4 linked regions of the Drosophila melanogaster genome follow. The gene in region 3 interacts genetically with the main gene of each other region. Each region holds a gene or a part of one and is shown on either strand. Other genes may lie near its edges. The genes, in order: Rala, kay, bsk and fz.

Evidence for each region.
Region 1: of bsk (region 3) and Rala, changing one suppresses a phenotype caused by changing the other (phenotypic suppression), as found in Drosophila melanogaster (2 studies listed by BioGRID).
Region 2: of bsk (region 3) and kay, changing one enhances a phenotype caused by changing the other (phenotypic enhancement), as found in Drosophila melanogaster (2 studies listed by BioGRID).
Region 4: of bsk (region 3) and fz, changing one suppresses a phenotype caused by changing the other (phenotypic suppression), as found in Drosophila melanogaster (one study listed by BioGRID).

Annotation. Positions count from the first base shown.
Region 1 is NC_004354.4:3,716,635-3,721,668, reverse strand, and holds the start of Rala (Ras-like protein A), read left to right. Parts: upstream 1-2,033; 5' UTR 2,034-2,306; intron 2,307-5,001; exon of another isoform or gene 5,002-5,034.
Region 2 is NT_033777.3:29,787,054-29,794,637, forward strand, and holds kay (kayak), read left to right. Parts: upstream 1-1,882; 5' UTR 1,883-3,099; coding exon 3,100-3,801; intron 3,802-4,339; coding exon 4,340-4,667; intron 4,668-4,733; coding exon 4,734-5,971; 3' UTR 5,972-7,060; downstream 7,061-7,584. Other genes in the region: sro (shroud), read left to right, coding at 7,583-7,584. UniProt on the Drosophila melanogaster protein: Developmentally regulated transcription factor AP-1 binds and recognizes the enhancer DNA sequence: 5'-TGA[CG]TCA-3'. May play a role in the function or determination of a particular subset of cells in the developing embryo.
Region 3 is NT_033779.5:10,246,983-10,252,382, reverse strand, and holds bsk (basket), read left to right. Parts: upstream 1-1,881; 5' UTR 1,882-2,102; intron 2,103-2,640; exon of another isoform or gene 2,641-3,123; 5' UTR 3,124-3,172; coding exon 3,173-3,288; intron 3,289-3,468; coding exon 3,469-3,598; intron 3,599-3,660; coding exon 3,661-3,858; intron 3,859-3,921; coding exon 3,922-4,186; intron 4,187-4,247; coding exon 4,248-4,531; intron 4,532-4,609; coding exon 4,610-4,735; 3' UTR 4,736-4,881; downstream 4,882-5,400. Other genes in the region: Ror, read right to left, coding at 1-108, 319-416; CG31717 (uncharacterized protein), read right to left, coding at 882-1,487, 1,556-1,564. UniProt on the Drosophila melanogaster protein: Mitogen-activated protein kinase and key component of the c-Jun N-terminal kinase (JNK) pathway which phosphorylate and activate transcription factors involved in a wide range of biological processes including response to various stresses, cellular proliferation, differentiation and migration, and regulation of cell shape.
Region 4 is NT_037436.4:14,272,657-14,277,344, reverse strand, and holds the start of fz (frizzled), read right to left. Parts: upstream 3,003-4,688; 5' UTR 2,291-3,002; coding exon 1,619-2,290; intron 1-1,618. UniProt on the Drosophila melanogaster protein: Receptor for Wnt proteins.

The sequences.
Region 1 (5,034 bases), on a different chromosome or scaffold from region 3:
TACAATATCATTCGCACTTACCCGCACTCCAGTAATTCGAGACTCCAGAAGCTCGAGTTTCCGCGGATTTAGTGAAGTTTGAAATTGATCCATTACTTTGTGATTATAAGCGCCGATAGGAATTTGTTTTTTTTTTTGTTTTCGATTCAGATACAAAAGTTTTTCTGAAATTTTTCTTTTAGCTCGTGGTTGGTTTAGTTATTCAATATTTTAATATTGATCGATTGCAAATGTCGGCAACGAGTGCGACAAGATTTGTCAGAGCCATGGCAATAATAAAGTGACAAATTCATCTGAAAAAATTAATAAATAACAATTTAATATCACTAATTTGCCACATGCATATTTTTAGCACGCACTGTGTGGCTTATATAAAGGCCCCTATCTAAAGGCATTTCATCTTATCAACGTTTTTGTTTTGCTCATAGCAGCAAACAAGAAATTACCAAATATGTATTGTATTATCAATTGAGTTTCAGTGAAATAATTGTGTGTGCTATAATTGAATGCAAGCAGAGGTTTTGCCAAAACCTGGCCATGTTTAGGTATTTCATTAAAAACACGCTCATAAACTACACTTGTATAATTGAAAAACTTGGCATCCTTTTAAATGCAATACGCTTTTATTGGGAAATTTCTCAATATGATTTAAACAACATTTCAGCCCGCCTAAGGGTTAATGTTCCAAGATGAAATCCCAATAGGTTTTAGTTCGAATCTTTCCCTTTTCCGTCTTCTTCTTGGCGCTTTTGTTGTTGCCCTGCCTGCGCTTTAGAGATCGGCATCTCGAATCTCCAATTGGAGTGAGGTTTTTTGTTATTTTCCTTTTGCACTCGGCGAGAAAATGCAGGGCAAAGAGCGAGTCTGATAGCGGGAAGGAGCAAAATGAACGACCCAACAACTAGCCGTACTAATTGGCATACACACATGCCACGCCTCCAACTGCTCCTAAGTGCACACACACACACACACACACACATACACACATGTGCATAAGTTTTTTTGAATTGTTACCGGTGCCAATTTGTTTTTGCGAGTGTATTTATTTGAATTTACTTTTATTCGCGTGAATATGTGTGAGTGCGAGAGAATTAAATCGCCGGCTGAGATAAAATAAAAGTCACTACAACAATAACAACAATGCTATTCACTCGCCTCTCGCTCGCACACGCTTCGCTTTTCGTTTGCTTTGCTTTGCGTTGCCTTTTTTTTCCGTTGTTTCCCCCCCACCCCTCTCCGTTTTTGCACACAACGCTGCGAGGTTAAGTTTGCGATTTTAGGAATTGTACGATTTCTACGGCTTTTCCGACATCGACATCACATTTAGAGGAACGAGAGGTGTTTACCATGCCATTTGGTGTGGCGAGCATATATCTTCCGCTTCCGATCGGATCGGCGATTGTCTTAAACTTTCAGAGGCTGCAACTATAGCTTTTTGTTGTTCTTTTTTTTTTTTCTTTCGCTTTTGTTTCTTTGGGATTTGGGTTTGTGGCGTGGCACTGTCGGCACGACACTTAAGGGTTAAGGTTAAGGGCCAATCGCCATGATTCCCAAATGTGTTTACTTCGGTTTTCCACAGCCGATTTTTGTCTATTTTCACAGTAAAAAAAATATTCACAATATTCACACGAACGCACACACGCAGAAATGGCCTAAAAATATACTGTAAGTTGGTGTAAAAAAAATACCGAAACGAGTGTGCAAAGAAGCCATCTGGCGGAACGATGAGTGCGCTTAACATGCACAGTTGTGTCTGTTAAAGTAGCAGTTTAGCGGTCACTTGTTACTTAGCGTGTGCACCAACCATAGTTATCGGATACTTAAACCGCTCGCCAGCGAGTGCACAACTCGCTCGCTCGCCTATCGAGTACATCAACCAGCAAAGCGAGTACACCCACCAGCCTTAGCGATCACACCCACCTCAATATAAGACGGAACTTATTGGTATTTTTGTGTTATTCTTAGTGATGCTTGTGCTTGGTATAATTGATCGATGGCAGAGCGGTCACATTGGTGCACCTCTGTGGTATTTTTCCACTTTCACACTAGTTTCTTTCAAGCAAGCAAAACCAACGGAACTTTAATTGCGGTGTGCGGCGAACGAGAAGAGAAACCGAAAAGCAGCCAATTTACTGTTGCGTTCCGATCCTGTTAATTCATCAGTTGCCGATTCTCCGATCGCGCCTGTAACTTTTTTGTTTAGTTTAGTGCATCAAGTGCGAGATAACACAGCAAAGCAACAACAAACGAAGCGACAGGCCAAAGCGGACGCGCAAAATACAATAAAAAGGAAGGAAGAAAACGAAGTACGCAAAAAGGAGGAAAGAGAAGCAAAAGCATTTACAGCTAAAGCATTATAGAGTGATTACGCATATTTCGTATGTTGTTCTTCATGATGTCTGCCGTGTGGAAAGATTCTTTCTTTTTATCTGGGTGTATACACCGATGAAATCCCAGAAAGGAATATACACAGGGGTTTTTTGTTTCATAAACAAAATTTGTAAAAGCCGCCAAAAGGCGCCGCTGCCGGCGTTGCAGTCGACGTCGAAGAAAGTGGATGTGTGTGTGTGTGTGTGTATATGTGTGTGAGCAAAGCAAGAGGTGAAAAAAAAACTCAGCAGTGAAATCTTTCTGCTGCTATTTGCTTTGTTGAATATTTAAATGTAAACTAAATAAAAGGTATTGCGCTTGGCATTTTTGTGTGTGTGCTCCATTCAGCAAAATAAAGGAAAGGAGCGGACTGATGAGCACACGGAGAGCGAGAGATAGAGAGAGAGAGAGAAAGAAAAGGAGAAGGGCGGCGAGAGCCTTTTATCAACGGCTATCAGCAGAAATATTTGTTGCCGCACCCCGCTTGACCTTATTCTCTCTCGCTCTCGCTGCCGCTCTCTCCTGCTTTATCGCCCTCTCTTTTTGCGGGGTGTGCAAGGTGCAGTCGCCGCCCGCATTTTGCGCGTTGACTCATACACACAAACACACACACACAAGCAAGCACGCACACGCCCCCATCGCCCCTTTGCTTTTTAAACTTCTCTTTATCCCAATTCCGCTTTGGGATCTCGTTTACGCCGCTCTAAATAACATTTGCCGAATTTTCCCAAGTATTAGTAATAATTTAACATTATACAAATATTATTTAACCAACAGTTAAATACAGTTGAGTTTTTTTTTAAATGACAAGTTTATTAAGCACATTTCTTCATTAATCACATATTTCGAATTTCTAAGAACCTTCTTTGGCACTCGAAAATTGTCGTTTGAAATGCAAGAAAATTCGCAGAAACGGTGTCTGGTTTTAATCTCTGTTATTTTGTGAGATCGCTTTTGATGGCATTCGCTCTGTGGCGTTATTTTCTCACAGTGACCCGTTTTCCGCTACCATCTTTCCCTTTCCCCATTTCTCATTATCTCCACGAACGTGCCGATTTTCGGGTTCTGTTGCTAATCGGAGAACCATTTTGACATTAGCGTTAGATCATCATGATGGTGATCGTTAGTTAATCCGCTTCAACTTTATGCGCATCTGAATGTTCCATCTTTTTATCCAACACGCCTAAAGCAAATGAGGAAAACTGAAAAACGTGACACAGAAAAATGGTTTTACAGTTTCTAATTAGGCTCAAGTTCAAGATCAATTTGAGTGCCAGCTTGTTTTATATTGAATAATTTCATTTATCTATGACTCACTTAATCGTATGTGTTGACCCCTTTCCCCCTTTCACCAACATTTCCTAATTATTTGTTTGTTTGTTTGGTTGCCAAGGGGCGTTAAAAGCTCTCACCAATTGAACGAAATGCGAACGGGGGGAAGTGAATAGCTGAAGTATGTCAAAAAAAAATGCGTTCTCAGTTCCTTTAAAACTGAGTGCTTAAATAATCAATAACTGCTCTTTGTGTAGTTTGCCTTATTATTTACAAAATGCGAAACCAGTTTTGATTTCAGATCGGTCTGTAGAATATGAGCCATTCATATTCCAGAGAAATTTAATCGTTATCAAAAGTGTAAACAAAATCTTACATTATTTGCAAGATATAGCCGAGCAATTTGTTAGCTGTTTCACCTCTGACCTTTTCAAATATAATTCTCTGGCAGGCGAGAATAGATTAACAATAGAGTTGAAAACACTGACTCATAATCTTCACGATCTTTCGCAGTGACACAGTTTTTGGTATATATGTAGTTTTCTCATCTTTTGTTCGGCATCTCCGGCATGTTTGCTAACTTGGCCAGAAGGGAGAAGATAGCGCAAGTCGGCCAACTTAGCCTAATTTATAGCCATCAAGCTGTGATTTGCTCTAATTTCACTTCTAATGGAGTTTTGTCAAGGGAGACAAATCACGGAAATGGGTTCTATTTCTATGTTTCTTCTAGGCCAAGTCCATTATGGCCAACATTAAAGTTTGTTTTCTACGAATAATAATGTTGGCCTAATGCAAAAGTTATACACACTTGATGATAATTGTCCATAATGGCCAAATATGTCTGCCGAATGTCTTCAAAATACGTTTTATATACCTGATTATCAATGAATTGTGCATTAAATACGTGTAATGACTTTGTTATTTTCCAATTAAATGATTAATCGCCCGTTACCAACGATCTACGATATCCGTTTGTAAAGCATTTAACATTTGAAAATCTTGAGATTTCTTCCAACAAACGATTCTTGACAAAGTCGCGCGCGCAATCACATATTTGTTAGCTGACTTTAGTTTGTTACATCATCGTATCAGCATCTCCAAAGTTCTCTCAACACATTTGCCTTATACAGGTTTTATTTGTTTTATGCCCAGGCTCTCAAGTGTTTCCCCATGGCTTTTGTTGTTGCTCCATCGCATTTCAAGATCTTTTATCACAGCTGACTATGCCTAGGTTTTAATTATGCTCTCCTCGCTTCAGAAAACACTTCCCACGCATTGTTCGTACATATATGTACCTATTTTTCATATACCACTCGGTGTGAAATAAGTTTTTAGTTTTTTTTTTTTTTTTTTTTTTAGGTATCGCTATCTGCAAAGGCAGATCAAACTTGC
Region 2 (7,584 bases), on a different chromosome or scaffold from region 3:
CTATGCTAACGCGCTCTGTTAGCCTTTGTTTCGGCCGCTCCAAACGCTTATTAGCCGCTTTGATATAAACAATGCAAATTGTCGTCGCTGTTTTCGTTTTTGCCAACGCTTGTTTTTGCCTTCGATGATGCCAAGTTTTTTGTTTTTTTTTGTGCCGTCATTACGTCATTGTCAGGCTAAAATTGGTCTAAAAATAGCCCAACACGTCAGCTGAAAGCAGAAGGCAAAGTCTCGGGCCCGAGAATTTCTTAGCCACTCAACTTGTTGCATCTTCACCTTCCTCCTCTGCCCAGCGTTTAAAAACATGTGAATGTGTTTTTGAACTAATTAGAGCCAAGGTCAAAGTTGATGGTCTAATCAAAATGATAGCGCGGATTTACAGGCAATTGATAAGTTTGAGTTTTCAGGGAATTCCTTTGGGAAGTGGCAATTTTTAGGTTTTGAAATATTTTTGTAAGTTGCAGTCACCATACATTTATTTAGGGGCCACTTTGGTTTGGCTTGAACCGCCCGCAAATCAAATTTGCAGCAGTCGCGTGTATTAGTCAGCAATTTGTTGCTTTTCGCTACGTCAGTGTTTTACTTTTTCTTTTTTTTTTTTACTCTCCACTGCTGGCTGTTCGATGTTCGCTGCTCGTTTCATTTGGTTCATAATTGACCCCCAGATGTGAACTCGGTGTCCGGAGATATGACTCTGTCCAACGTTCCGATAGGAGAATCGAGATCGCCATCCGAGCTGGCTGGCAAGCAATTTAGACAATTCAATTCGCCGCGCTTGATTGCCAGCATTCTATATCATCACTTGTTTTGCATACGTACATTTTCCAAATTGACTGATTCATCATCGGCTAAATGCGGTTCATGTTCGCGAGGGACAAGTTCAAATGGCAAAAAAGTGGGTTAAAACGAAAGTAGCCAGCCAAACAAAGGTGGCCAAACAGCCAAGGCGGCCGAGTTGAAAGTAAATTTCGCATACGAAATTAAAAAGTAAATATATCACAAAGAATAAAATCGATTGTTTGCTGTCAATAAGGGAACGGCCTTTGGGATTGGGAAACACGGCTGCGATAAGATCGTCAAATAAATAAGCACACAAGCCGCTCGAACTCGCTGCACGGAGAGAAAAGAAGGCATACTACTTCAAAAATGTAGCCCCAGTGCAACTGGTATGTGTGTGTGTGTGTGTTGCTCTTAGCCCACAACAAAAGCCAGCAATTAGCGTATTGGCCAACTTGCTGGCGACGGAAATAAACGCTCTTGGCGAGACAGGGGGTCTGAACTGAACTGAACTGAACTGAAAACATAGTTAATGTGGATGTGCCACACGCACACACCTGTTCGTGGGACATCTGTCGAATCGGACATGTGTATATATGTATGTAGCTTATGTTTACTCGGAATCATCGCTTTTGGCCAAAACATTGGGCCTGATTTATGGGCAACTGAAAGGCTTTTCCGTGGAAGCGAAGAATGAGCCTCTGGCAAGTTCGGCAAATCGGAAGCAGAAGCATATACATATGTACATAAGCCACCACCACATTCTACTATAGCTAACTAAATGTACATATTTCGCTTTGAATGCGGCAAAAGCGAGCGTGGTCGTCGTGTGGGCAGCCGCTCAATTAAGAGCAGCCAGCGTTTAGGATCATTTGATTTCCCAGCGGCTGTCTTCTAATTTGAGCAGCCAGCTCGCACAACACACGCCCAGCAGACAGCAGACAGCTCTCCGGATTCGGATGCGGGTTCGGGTTCTCTAGTAGTTCTCAAGATATATAAATATATATATGATATGTATATATATACATATATATGCATACATCTGCGGCGATCTCTCGATCGCGATCGTTGCCAATTTCGCTCGCCGGAGATTCTGATGCGATTCAGTCGCAAACGAACAACGAACCATCGAAGTTTAGAAAATATCTAACAATTAAAAGCGATCGCGCGCGCGCTTTTCCTCGAATCGCATCGCATCGAATCGAAACGCGAAACTCAAACAACGAAACGAAAATAAATTTGGAAAACTGCAATTGTCGTTGGGTTTTCGGTGCGCGTGCATTGCCAAAACGAATCAGGAGCAAAAAAAACGAATCAGTCGGCTATATGTACATATATACATATAGACGCAAAACAACGCACATTTCTCGGCTGCAAGCGCGTGGATCGAAATATATATGCCATACGAATATACATATATATATATATATATATGTAAATATAGCCAAACCCAGAAATAAAAGCGCAAAGGGAGGCATAACACTCGCTGTGTTGAGAGGCGTTGCCCATGGCCGAGGAATTTCTGAATACAACAAATGCAGCATTAATTGAACTAGCTCAAGGCTCCATGTCCGTGTAAATCTCTATAATTATATAATAATCGAATTTGCGGCTCACACAGTGGAGCGACTTAAACTGGACACGTGTCGCTGGATTTTGGGCCTCGCACACTTACGATAAACTGCGTCGATTATGAGCGCTTTCGCCGAGCGGAATGTGCGTTTCAATCCTTTGCGAAATCAGCAAACGCTTATCGTTAAGCGGCTGAGACCGCCGGAGAGCCAAAACTTCAAGAACTGAGCAATCGAACAACGAACATATACGAAATCTGCTCACGGCTCGCAGCTAGCAAGAAGTCAAATCAAACGAACCCTTTTTCTTTATTAGGAAAGAGCCAACGCAGAAAGCAAACGAAATACACAATACACACAAAAAAAAGAAGCTATGAAACAAAGCCAAAAACGAACGAATTTCTAAGCAACTAGAACAACACTGCGACAACAAACAGCATAGGAGCATCCAAACGAACGGAATTATAAAGACAAGAAAGGATCATCAGCACATTGTTAGGAAACTTTGGGAACAGAGTCCCAATTTGTACATATACTCTAGTTTAGCTAGTAACTAGATTCTTAGATTGTTGAATTGTTTTTGTTGATTTTGAATACAATTCGCATATATCATTGTTGTCCCAATTGTTGTGTTAGCTTAGCTAGGCTAAGAACCCCAACGAATACTAGTCAGCCGCCCAACTGTGCGTATACGCAACGCGAGTGCGTATACTTAATATTTAGGTTTAGATCGATAAGCAGCGAACAAATGATGAAAAATCTCAACGGTAGGACGCACAATGCGTGCTACCATCCCTACTACCACCAATCGCTGCATTTTGCTCAGCAGCAGCAGCAGCAGCAGCAGCATCATCTGCAGCAACAGCAGCAACATATGCAGCAGCAGCAGCAGCAACAGCAAGCGCCGCAGCAACAGTTGCGTCATCAGCAACGGCAACTGCCCACGCAGCCAGCCTACCAGCAATCGCAATCGGTTGCCCACAATGCTTTTCCACTGCGCAGCAGCAGCAACAATTATGGCCATGTTGCTAGCAGCGCCTACGCTGCCAGCAGCGGCAGTCACAACAGCAACAATGCGGCTGCCATGGCCGCCGTCTGCCAAATGCAGAATTTTTTCAACCAGCAACAGCAGCAGCAGCAGCAACTGGAGTTCAACAACAATTGCATGCCCATTAATTACTACCAGCAGCAGCAGCAGCAACATTACCCTTCCGAGTCCCAGTCCTCCGCCTCCGGCTGGAATCCCGAAACCCCTGGGCAGGCGCAACTCGCCTTGACGGCCACAACATGCAACACCACTGCAGCTGCAACATGCAACACCACTGCAGCTGCAACAACGAGCACAACTGCAACATCTGCTGCCGCTGGCAGCGACAACAACCACAGCGACAACTTTGCAATGGACGCCAGTGAGATAGCCACTTTCCTCGCCAACGAGCTTTTCCTACAGCAGGTACCACAGATCGATCGATGATGATGCCTCCGATTCTGGTCGAGATTGGGATAGATTTGGGCGCGAAACAATTGGCAAGCGGCATGCGTACTTAATCATCGCCGAAAATAGAACAAATGCGGAACAACAAAGGGGTGGGCAAATATAAACAAAGTGATGGATTGGCCGCCTCTCTTTCGGTTTCTTCATCTCTCTTCGCCTCTTTTTTTTTCGTTTTTTGTTTGGCCAAAAACACGTTCGCTAATTCGCTAGAAATGTACGGATAAGCAAGAGGTCTTACAGACTTAGCAATAGCTTTTGATGTTGACTGATATCTGAACTCGACCCAAATTACTCATGTGATAAGAATAAATTCCCAAACATCCTTAAGCTATTCGCGGGCAACACTGCGTATGCGTGATATATGTATACTGATATGGCATTGTAGAGGGTTTCGTGCTTGTCATGAGCTTTAATGAGCGTTAATAGTAATCCATCTTCTCAGATACTTGCACTCATAGATGTCTTTACTAATCATGCACCTTTTCTGCTCTTGCAGCTCGGCAACTTTGAGACCGGCCAGAGTGTTCTCACACTGACGACGCCCACGTTGACGCCGACCACCACGCGCAACATCGAGGACACACTGGGCCACTTGCTCTCGGACACGCAGACCGATCGTGTGGCTGGTTGCGCGGGATTTGCAGTGCCAAAGGTGCTACCCAATGCCATTGATGTCCTGGGCATGGGTATTCCCACCGGTGTTTCGTCGCTCCCACTTCAGCAGACATTCGATTTGAGCCTGGGGCAGGGCAGCGAGTCCGAGGACTCCAACGCTTCGTACAACGATACGCAGATGAACGAGGAGCAGGACACGACCGATACTTGTAAGTGAAGCTGGCACGAATTGCTCCGAATGTCTACTAACTCCCTTTTATTTCATACGCCTGCAGCAAGTGCCCATACGGACAGCACCTCGTACCAAGCTGGCCACATCATGGCGGGCAGCGTGAACGGCGGCGGTGTCAACAACTTCTCCAATGTCCTGGCCGCCGTGAGCTCTAGCCGCGGATCGGCGTCGGTGGGCAGCAGCAACGCGAATACCTCAAATACGCCGGCTCGTCGTGGCGGTGGCAGACGCCCCAACCGGTCGACGAACATGACCCCGGAGGAGGAGCAGAAGCGGGCCGTGCGCCGGGAGCGGAACAAACAGGCGGCGGCCCGTTGCCGCAAGAGGCGCGTGGACCAGACCAACGAGCTCACCGAGGAGGTGGAGCAGCTGGAGAAGCGGGGCGAGAGCATGCGCAAGGAGATCGAGGTGCTGACGAATAGCAAGAATCAGCTGGAGTACCTTCTGGCCACCCACCGGGCCACCTGCCAAAAGATTCGCTCCGACATGCTGAGCGTGGTCACCTGCAACGGTCTGATTGCCCCGGCCGGACTCCTGAGTGCAGGGAGCAGCGGCAGCGGCGCGAGCAGCCATCACAACCACAACAGCAACGACAGCAGCAACGGCACGATTACGGGCATGGACGCCACGCTGAACTCCACCGGGAGGAGCAATTCACCCTTGGATCTCAAGCCGGCGGCGAACATCGATAGCCTGCTGATGCACATCAAGGACGAGCCACTCGATGGCGCCATCGACTCAGGATCCAGCCTGGACCAGGACGGTCCGCCGCCCAGCAAGCGCATCACCTTGCCGCCCATGTCCACGATGCCGCACGTTCACTTGTCCACGATATTAACGCCCACCGGCGCCTCGTCGGGATCTCTGCAGACGCCGATCACGAGCACGGCGCCCGGCGGATTCGGCAGCGCCTTCCCGGTGACCTCCAACGGCAGCAGCATCAACAACATCAACAGCATCGGCAACAACATGAACTCTCCCACGCTGAATGCGCATAACAAGGTGCCTAAGGAGCGGCCCAATACGCTGGCTTTCCAGCGTCCTCTGGGCCAGATGCACCTCACCATGGCCAACAACAAGGCGGGTGGGCCCACGCAGATCCAGGGCGTGCCCATCCAGACGCCCTCGACCGGCACCTTCAACTTCGACTCCCTGATGGACGGCGGCACTGGGCTAACGCCCGTCTCCGGACCCCTCGTACCGAACAGCTCCTCCACGAACAAGCACCCGCTGGAGCTGCCCACGCCCACCGCCGAGCCGTCCAAGCTGGTCAGCTTATAACCGGACCGGATCTGGGACGGGGATGGGGGCCGAGTCAGGATTAAGTTAAGTTTTATATAGTTGGCAGGCAAACAACGGAAGGAAACCGCGAAGCACTTTTCTAGTTGTAGGAGATGTTTTCATTTTTGTAATATGCTGTAATATGCGTAAACGTGACGAATGTGTTGTTTCGTTAACTCTAATGTTTTTGTATTATTATCTTTATTATGGTTAATTTATGATTTCGCTATGTCTTTTACATACGCCGAGGAGCTATGTACATATGTTATGTACTTGTAATTTGTGCAATTTTCAAACCTCTTCATTGCGCGTTGTATATTTTCAAAAAATATAAGAACGCGAACGCGAACGCGAACGACCGACGATGCATGATGAGAATGATAAGGATAATGATGATAATAGGGCGTGTAGATTTGCAGGATGCGTTGTGATATTTATTATAAAACGAATACAAAAGATGCGAGGATGAAACAAAGTAGAAAGCAAACAGGAGCGTCTAATGAAAGGAACTAAGCCGGTTTTAAAATTGTACATTTAAACGAATCGTAAAGCGTAAATATACTATAAAACAAAACAAAGTGAATATATATTCAGCATACAAACTAAATACAATGCCTTGAGAGAGAATTAAGAAATGCAAACCTTTATATATAGAGATCTACATACATATATGTATGCATGTACATTTAAAGCTAAACAATAATGGCGTTGAAGCGAGTTTTATATTGAGCAAAAGCAAATGTGAAATGAGATAAATATACTTATTGTGTACTCTGTAAGCTGCAGTAGAAACCAAAATATATTTTTACTAAACGCAACATTGCGCTATTTTCAAATACCATTTATAAGAAATGACAAAAGCAAAGCAATTATTTAATATGTAATTATGTATTATGTATACCTATATCTACCTACCCACAACCTTAAATCAAAAAACCCAAAACGATTCAACAAAAGCTGATCAGGTAAAGCAACTCTCGCCAGTTTCCACACTAAATTCTCAGAATATTCAAAATTTTAATCTATACAAAACCAAACCGATTGATAGCAAATAAATGCACTTATAAGGGCAGAAAAACACCAAAATTTAAAAATGAAATGGAATAAAATAGAAATAAAAAGACCGACAAAACCTAAAGACGATTTGTGGAATTATTTCTGAAGTTATAGCGATTCACATGACTTGCAAATGGGCTGGCTCGTCGTCAGGTAAACATATCAGGTAGATTAGGGTGGACCAACAAAGGCTGCATTCTCAATTTCTGCAGACTTCTTCAAGCGATTTGAAGTACTTACTTATGGAAGTAAACCTCATTGAGAAAATGGCTCTAATGTGAAAATGCGATCATTCAAGTTATGAAAACATTATGAGATAGAAACACCTAGTTGCTGCCATAAAGACCAGTCTGAAGGGCAGGTAAACGCAGCCGTGTTCTTCCACTCGTCTGATAATGGCACAAACGAGTATATATGTACATACAACACACGCTGCATATATTCATTTTCGGGTTTGCCTTATTTTGCATTTTTTTTTGTTTTTTTTGGGATCTGTTGCTTTCGGTGCAGCCACGAATCGCGGATCTCTGTTTCAGTTACTCGAGAAGCGGCGATAT
Region 3 (5,400 bases):
AAATCGTTCATGGTGAGATTGGGGGATACGAAAACATGGGCATTGCTCAAGACATCGCGACAAATGGTGCCATTGTAAATATGGCAAATACCTGATGATTGCTGGAAACTGCAGGGCAAATAATATATTGCATTTTTAAGGATTAAAAGGATAAGGGCGTCTAAAGATTTCTGCATTCGAGTATACACTATGTTTAGTAATTTAAAAATATATAAAACATGTTAAGCTCATGATTTCATTAATTATTAATTCCACACAAAAGTATTTCGCTAATTATTGTTGCGGAAACTTGGGAAAACTTTCAGTGAAAATACCTACCCATATATTCTTGAGTCCACATTATGGCTCCCCACATCCTTTTTTGTAAATAAAAGCACGAGCGAAATGCAGACTATAAATGCCGAGTATTTGTTCATATTGCTTAATCTAGCTAACAATATGAAGCCTTTTGTTATTTCAATAGTCCAATTGACATGCCAACGATTCCGAAAATATTTTTGTATTTATCCTTTCGCGAAAACTTTATGTGGCATACAACATTTCATCCCCCGACGAAGTCGTTGGGGTTGTTGACTCCTTATCGATGAATCGATATATTTAGGAGTGCTATGACTCGGAACAAAGGAATTACACTATAATTTCTTATAATTAATAATCCAAATATCTTCAAAAGCTTTATTTATTTTATTAAAGATGGTTGTATAACGACTTTAGTCTCATTTAAAGTACACTTTCCCTTTTCACAGTGAAATAAGGGTAGAAAAATTATGCGAAATACACAATAATATGAATTTAACATTAACAATGTATTTGGTTAAAGCATTTATCATAATGATCTAGAGATTATCTATTGCTTTCGGTGTTCCAATCGTAACTTATCGTTACTCCATGCTGTCGACAGTTTCCTCGGTAACAAAGCCCACAATGCTAAATGCAGTTTCCTCGCTGATCCACAGAAGTCCCACGATTAGTGCCTCCAACACTCCGATGGCAGCACCGGCGCAGATATCCAAAATATAATGACGCTGGAGGATGAGCCGTGAGATGGCCACGCTTACAGCCCAAGCTGTGACCGGCATTAGGAATATGATGTGAAGCGGATACAGCTTGGCGAAGAACAGCAGCACAAAGAACGCCCGGGAGGCATGACCTGAGGGAAAGCTGAACTTATCGGGTCCAATGGTCAGCATATCCTTGCTGGCCACCGGTCGCCTGCGACGAACAAGCGCCTTCAGCACGGCCACGATCACTACGTCGAGTATCAGGCCGAAGAGCATATTGACTTGCATTTGATACAAGCTCTTCGAGCTGAGCAACCAGATGAAGGCGATCCATGAGACAAACCAGGCGATTCCATCGCATGATATCTCCAGAAATCTGCTGTGGATCCGCAGGGATTTGAAGAACGACAGATTGGAGACGGCTACTACAAAATGCTTCGACACCTGAACATCCTTCTCCAATAGGTATTTAAGTGCTGGTGATGACTGCAAGGACAAGATTTTAAAATTAGCACTTATCAGCTTATGTGATTCATCAGTGGCCAAAAACCAACCGTCCTCATATCGCTGTGTATTTCAACTCTTTTGTTTTTATTTATTGTTAGTGATGACAGTATTTCTCATTCGTCATTCGATGTATACTCGATAAGTCGAGCAAAGGAATATCTAATGACCGGAACGGTGAAATGAAACACTGCGCCAACTTAGTTTTTGGTCTTTATTAAATAAATTGCATTTGTATATGTTTATTTGTAAGTTATTAACACTTATTAGGTTTTAAACCCCTAATTAAACCTAATTTTAATCAAAAGTCGATTGGCTGACTTTAGCCGTTTCTGGTTTTGGTCCTACTGCAATCTGGTCACATCGATTTAAGTAACTTTGTTGTGATCGAATATTCCAATAGATTTTCGTATATTGTATTGTATCCATGTACAATTATTCTCATGCGAAAGTGCCGCAGATAGTTGATTCTTAAATTTCAATAACATTAACATAGTTTAAAATGCTCGCCACTTTGAGTGCCCAGTGTGTAGAATAAAATAGAAAAAAAATCGATTTTATATTTTCACAAGAAATTCTGTACTTCTTCGTTAAATGGTAAATAAATATTCTATTACGTTCCATTCACATCAAATATCGAATCACCGAAACACTCCTGCAAAACGTGCCATAATCGATTGAAAGCAATTATAGTTGTGCCGGTTATGAAAAAAATTATTGATATTTAACATAAAATGTCAACTGCCCAAAGAGTGTATGTACCTATGTATGCGCAAATGTCTAACGTTTACATATCGACACTACCCGAAGCGTAGACCGCTTTATTATCTGCAGCGCAAACGAGCGCTTTTTCGATGTACGAATACGGGGAATATCTTTTATCTGAGAGATAGTTTGAAAAGTTACTAAATTATCGACCCACATTTGTGTGGCTGTATGTGCATATGTATGTATGTGGCTTACATCTTACACATATGTATACCAGTAGAAGTTTACAGTTTTCATCCGCATACAAATCGTGTGTATGTACATATTTACACAGGCAACGGCATGCATACACATGAACGCTATGTACATCGCTGTGGTCCAACATTCCGTACTTTTATGTTTAAGCCGGACATATCGATTTTAAATCGGTTTTTTTTCCTGTGCGTGCCGCTAAACACTTTGCTCAAAGAACGAAACGCTCGGTTATTTCTGTTGGGTGTTTTTCCAACCATATTCGACATGTGTTCGGCAAACATTTAAATGCTTATCAATAGAAAAGGGGGTTCGGCATTCGAAGTCGGCTCAAATAAGTGACTGCGTTATGCAATTGTATCTTTTTGAAGGAACTCGATATTTTTTGCTCGTGGTTTGGCAACAAACTCGCCACACACTAGCCAGTAAATTTCACCCCTCGCGACAACAGAGACCCACTTAATGGCCATAACATTCTGCCGAAATAAGGCCAGGCAAAGTTAATGTTTTCCTACCCCCTAATTCCAGACGAAGTTGTCTGAAAACTGCCTCCACCCATTCAGAATGGAGCCATACATACGGACGTCTTTGCTCCTTATATAAAACAGAATCACACTGTAAAACCGTATTGATTTATCTTATTTACCCTCTTGAAAAGGCCGATATGCTCCTTGCTCTCAACTAGTAATAAATAAAATCAGTGAACAATGACGACAGCTCAGCACCAACACTACACCGTCGAGGTGGGGGACACCAACTTCACCATCCACAGTCGGTACATTAATCTACGGCCCATAGGATCAGGTGCCCAAGGAATAGTATGGTAAGTGGTTATCAATATGTTATTACATATAATACATTTAACAATTTTTTGGCTTAAACAATTAAGATATTTCGCATGAGTATGAAGTCATATTTGTAACGCTCCATTGTATATTAGATTAGATTAGATGGGATTAGCTGGAATATGAAAAAAAAAAATAACAAATTTAATGCATTTCAGCGCCGCTTACGATACTATCACCCAGCAAAATGTGGCGATTAAGAAACTATCTCGACCATTCCAAAATGTAACCCATGCCAAGCGAGCATATAGGGAATTCAAGCTAATGAAGCTTGTTAACCATAAAAACGTATGAAACTTGCACCTTTAACTTTAACAAATTTCTACTAAACATAGGTATTTAATCCGTAGATAATTGGCTTACTTAATGCTTTTACGCCGCAAAGGAACTTGGAAGAGTTTCAGGATGTCTACCTGGTCATGGAGCTGATGGACGCTAATCTCTGCCAGGTCATCCAAATGGACTTGGATCACGACAGAATGTCCTATTTGCTTTATCAAATGTTGTGCGGAATAAAACATTTACACTCAGCAGGAATTATTCACAGAGTACGTACAGTATGAATACATCTTTAAAATGAGTATGAAATATATGAAATACTTCATTTGCAGGACTTAAAGCCATCCAATATAGTTGTAAAGGCCGACTGCACTCTAAAAATTTTGGATTTCGGTCTGGCACGTACTGCAGGAACTACCTTTATGATGACTCCCTATGTGGTCACCCGATATTACAGGGCTCCAGAGGTCATTTTGGGCATGGGATACACAGAGAACGTGGACATATGGTCCGTCGGTTGCATTATGGGCGAAATGATACGGGGCGGTGTGCTGTTTCCTGGAACGGATCATATAGATCAGTGGAATAAAATTATTGGTATGTTGCTGCTTAAATAACTTGATTCTCGTTATGATTGTCAACTTTTACGTTTTTTCAGAGCAATTAGGTACACCATCACCCTCGTTTATGCAACGGTTACAGCCAACCGTCCGAAACTATGTGGAAAATCGTCCTAGATACACTGGATACTCATTTGATAGACTTTTCCCCGATGGCTTGTTTCCAAATGATAATAATCAGAATAGCCGCCGGAAGGCTTCTGACGCTAGAAATCTTCTTAGTAAAATGCTAGTCATTGATCCAGAGCAGCGGATATCTGTGGACGAGGCTTTGAAGCATGAATATATCAACGTGTGGTATGATGCTGAGGAAGTGGATGCTGTAAGTGATTCTGGCATAAACTGGATTTCTAGGAATGTTGAATGTTTTTAATCGCTTAATTGCATGCATCTCTTGCAGCCCGCTCCGGAGCCATATGATCACAGCGTGGACGAAAGGGAACACACTGTGGAGCAGTGGAAGGAGCTAATCTATGAGGAAGTCATGGACTACGAAGCACACAATACAAATAATAGAACGCGGTAGAGAACGACTTTTTCCTCCTTAGTCAGTCACAAGAAAACTAAAGCTTACCAACAATACGGCGTGTATTGTTAAATTATTACAACAAATAAAATATTCAAATTGTATTTAAAAATATAGTAACCATTAAAAAATAAAATCAATATGCGAAACTTTGTAATTTCTTACTCATCCTTGTTTTTTGAGCCCGCTTTCTTAAGTTAAATCGTTAAAATACCAGTTTAATCATTTCATTGTCCTGATTTCAGGAGCTAATTACATTTTAATCTTTGTATAAATTCATAAAATTTAAATGGAAAAGTTTAACCATATAAATTATTTCGGTATATAAAGTCGATACATACTTTTAAAATTTTGTTTCATACAAGAATATGGAAAGTAGATAATTTAGTTACCGATAAAAACATTTCTAAAATACAAAAAATTTAAAATGATGATTAAATAAAAAACTGTTATACTAAATTTAAACGAAACAAACGGTCATTCGATAACTCAATTAGTATCGAATAAGCCGGCGTGTAAATCGGGCTGGCAACTCTCACCGGTGTAGAGATCGGGATGGCAACTTCGTACTGTTATTCCTATGCTGCGATAACGATAACAGCAAAGTGTCATCGCGAATAAATGTGGGTTTGATAATAAAGAATTGCGTTGGTGAACAATAATAA
Region 4 (4,688 bases), on a different chromosome or scaffold from region 3:
TTCTTTGTCTATTAATCATAAAGTTTATAATTTTGATTTCGACCAATTTCTTATCTGTACCTGTGGAGCCCTTATAAAACGCTTGTTAATACCACTAGTTTCTAACATGGCAATTATATGTTTATATTGTCGGATCATTATCTATCCAATAAGCATTAATTCACGCTCTCACACTGCGCCATTATCATTAGCAGACAAAGAGACCTATCTAGCTCATAAAGCACGGCAAACAGGGCCAAAACACACAGAGATACAGATACGGATTCATTTGCAGATACTCTTACAGACAGAATCGTGATGTGGGCCAAATGCAATCCAGGCAAACAAGCTGCTAAATTTCGCACGCAGCTCTCAAAAGGCATTTAAGCACGGGGTCTGGGGACTCCGGCTAAACCAAAGATGCTGACAGCCATGATGATATGGGGATGGAAAGAAGGCAGCAAGGCCAAGAGGAACTGATGACACACAGCCAAGGAAAAACGAGACCAATCAAGAAAAAGCGAGTGAGACGAAAGAAGAAAAAACACCGAGAAATCGCAATGGTAAAGTAGCTAAGAGATACACATGTATCCGCCAGATATCCAGACACTGAGGGAAGTGTGAATTATCCTGCCTCAAAGTATTTAATGCGCTTTACTTATGGCAGCCGGCAACAACAGAGTGACGGCTAAAAATAGCAAAAGATAAACACATTGGAAACACATAGACGATGATCATCACTCATCCAAAACCAACAGAAAATAAATCGTGGAAAAATCAGTCTGCTGAGGGGCTTAAGAACCCGAAAAAAAGCTGCTAAAGGAAAAGGGTGGAAAATTAATTAAAGAACGTGAAAATGCAACAGGCTGACCCTCAGTTCAAGTTATTAAACATTCTATGGTTCATGTTACATTTTTTTTTTACTTTTTTTGGGAATACTTTTAAGCAGGCATTACAAATTACACAACTCCAAAAAGAACTGGTTTACCTTTCCTCAACCGAAGCCAAAGAAAAAACGATCTACCTGCCGCTGTTAACCATCTTTTGTGAGCTGCGGGCAGGTAGAATGCGGGCTCGTCGCCCTTCTCTCCTTCTTCTCGTTATTCCTGGCCTGCCAAGGACCTCCTGCTGTTTTCCCTGGTGGTTGGAAATTGTTTTCTCGGCGCAACAGGATTTGCATTTTTCCCTACTTCTACGCTGCTCTACAAATTGAGTCTGGAGTTCAAATGAAGACATAAAAAAATCATTGACCTACATGGGACCAACCCAAATGTGGCATATTAAGTTCCAGAAATAAACGAAATACTCACTAAAAGGCTTGGGGTACTTAAAGCATACATTTAGTCAAGAAAGCGCTAAATACATTCGCTAAACAGATGTTAGTACCCAAAATTTATTTGTGCAACTTCGTTTTTAGTTTGGACATGGTTAAAAGTTTGTGCTCACCCGACGGATGATTATAGAACTTGTTTTTAACTTTTGTCATAATCATAACATGTTTAATCATAAAATTAAATGCATAAATAATAGAAAACTAATGTTTTAAAAGGTATACAGTATGCGCCTATAACCCCCTATTTTTATATGATGCTTATTTTTCGGCGCTTTTTAGTGAATTTATTTTCATTAAAGAACTTACCTTTCCGCCAACTTTTAGTTCGTAGCCCATTCCCAGAGGCGTTTTCAGTTGCACGGGGCACACGAATCCAATGTTTCGGTGCGGACTTTCTACGCCCGTCTGGTGTTTACGGGTAGTGACCTTAGCCACACTCCTTGTGGGCGTGGCCGCCGTGGAGGCCGATGATGTGGTATTCTCCGCCACGCACAAATCCTCGCCTCCATGGACGGGAAATTTGGAGCACTCCAGATTTTCCGGCCAGTTAAAGTTGTAGGTTTTCATTAACTTTTCACATACCCGCGCCGATTCGCACAGAGATCGACAAGGCGGAATGGGTCGCTCCAAAATTGTGCAGACCGGAACGTACAGGGAACAGAGGAACAACTGGAGGTCATCACTGCAGCCGATCTTCACGAGCGGAGCAAACTGATGGACCTCCAGACCCGCCTCCTCCTGCTTGGTATGGCCAATAAGATTTGGCATAATGGTCATGTTATATGGTATATTCTTGCAGATCGATATGGTGATGGGTTCACAGCGATTGTGATGTGGCAGTCCATCTAGTTCGGTCCCAGAACTGGCCATTAATCCCCCGCCGCTGCGATAATACGGACTCGCATCGAGGGGGCTCTGATCGTAGCGCTGGACCCCCTGTATCAGGGTGGGTAAAATAAACAGGATTTGACGCCACATTTTGGAATTTTTCGATATCGCTGTCAAATAACTTTTGGGGCTTTTTCTCGATCTCTTTAAACACTTTAAAACACACACATGTTGCTCATCTACTTGCACTCACTTATACACCATTGAATACTTATTTGATTTATTTTCCCTGTTTAAAAACTTCACTCCCACGAAACACTTAACACCTTTTAAATATTTGCCGGCGGCAAATATTTAGTTTGGCCTTATAAGCAAATAATAAATATTTCTCTCTATTCTCTTATTTGCGTTTGCTTTTGCTCTTTATTTTGTTTAGACTTTTTTTGTTATTTTCCGACTTCAATTTGGTTTAACCGTTTGAATTCGACTTTGCTATTTGTTGTTGGCAAAATATTATTGTGTCAAAATTTAATTTTTGGGGGTCTTTAGGACTTAGTAGCGTTGGCTTTTATCTGGCACAGTACCGGGCTTTACTTTTCTAGCAGCCACATTTTTATCTTGCTGTATGCACATACATAAGTACCGTTAGCTGTATATCATTTATGCCTCCCCCGCTTTTTGAATTTCCTTATTTCTTTCACTTTTTCGAAAACCGCGCAAAAAAATAACTGAACAAACACGGAGTCGAATTCAACTTTTTCGCACGGGACTTACGTTAAAAGACGAAAACGGAGCCGGAGTTCGAGTCGAAATCAATCCGCGAGCACATCCGCATGGTAGGGCATACGCTGACAAACTGAGGAACTGAAAACATGGGGCTCTTTCCAAGCCGCTCTCTCACCGTATCGTTCTCCTGCTCACACGCTGAATATGCGCTCTTTCGCTCGAATGGTGTGAGAGGAGGTTTTATTCAGCTATACGCTTTGTAGTATAGCACTGGGGGCGACCTTGAATTTGACACTCTCGGCGGGAGAGCCAGAGAGCCAAAGAGAGCGAAGTGAAAGACAGGGCTGTTATGCCTTTTGTTTGGATGCTGTCTCGCTCGCACTCTGTCTCCTCTCAACTTCTTGGCCTCCTGTTGATTAGCAGACAGGAAAAAGAAAGCATCAACAAACAACTAAATAAGAGACCATTTAATTAATTAGAATTCAAGATGATTATGCAATCGACAGGGCTAATAGGAAATTAGGGGCGGAAGCTGTGCCCAAATCTAGGTGTTGGGCCCGCTCAATGGAAATTTGAACATCGATATTCACTTTGTAAATACTTAAATATTTATAGATTCCAATTTAAATATTAATTAATTAACCATTTTTTCGATATAATAAATTATAACCAATCTTATGCTTATAAAATGAATAAAAGAAATAAGTGCTGCATTTAAAATGGCTCCAATATAAAAAGACTAGAATCATTTTGCCAGCAAAAAATCCTTGCTGAAATGGGATACATATCCGAAAACGAAATGAGTATACAACATTTATGTCCGAATGTCAAAAAGTTACAGTGCATGTCAGCTAAATATTTTTCAGTTTCTAAAATGTCATATTGCTTAGGTCACCGCACCTTCTTATCTTTTTATATCAATCCATCGATGCCCGTTACACTTCCCACTGTTCTTTGGTAATCTTCAGCTGTTGCAAGTGCCGTTAGAAGACATTTGCCCTCTACTGGAATATACCTATAATAATTGCTTTTCTCCAGCTTTCTTCCTCTATAGAAATACATATTTGCACGCGTTAATTTCCTTGATTTCTGCGACAATTTTTATCGTCGACCATTTCTCTGCGCACTTGCATTTACCATTTATCTTTATCTTTAGTTTTTGCTGTTGTTTGTTTACTTGCTCGCTTTTTTCCGGCAGTTAATTAAGTCATTAACTTGCGTTTAATCTGAGCTTTAGCATGAGTGAAGAGAACTTATCGCGGGAATTTGTCTAATGACCCCGTGGTGGATCGCCAAGGGAGGTGTGGGGGGTTAGGCATCTGCTGCCAGTCAATAAACTTGTTATATTGACAATAATGATGACATTAAAGGAGTCTTGGCAGTCTTTTGTCTTTGTCACCTGTAGAACCCTTTTCTCCGATCAGGCTTTCTCTGTCTCTGTCGCTCTCTACTTAACATATCTCTTTCAGCACATAACTGGCTCTCCCGCACTCTCTTTTGCGTTAAACAAGTGTTACCGGTTTAGCCGGCAAAGTTCATTTTATGCTTTGCTCTTTTTATCCGCTCTCTTCTTGGCTCCATCAACCCCAGTTCTCCCCCACCGCCACCTCCTCATCCTATTCTTCGCTTCTACACTTCGTCGGCTTGTTTAATAAAAAGCGCCAAAGTTGCGCCGCATAAAAAGGCTCTTTTTCTCGGTCTCCCCCTTGCAATCGCTAGATACACTTAACAAAAAATTAAAGTACAATTTTCAGATAAATAAGCAGTGCACTTTTAAAATCACTTATATACTATAATAATAAACAAACATATAATTTATAAT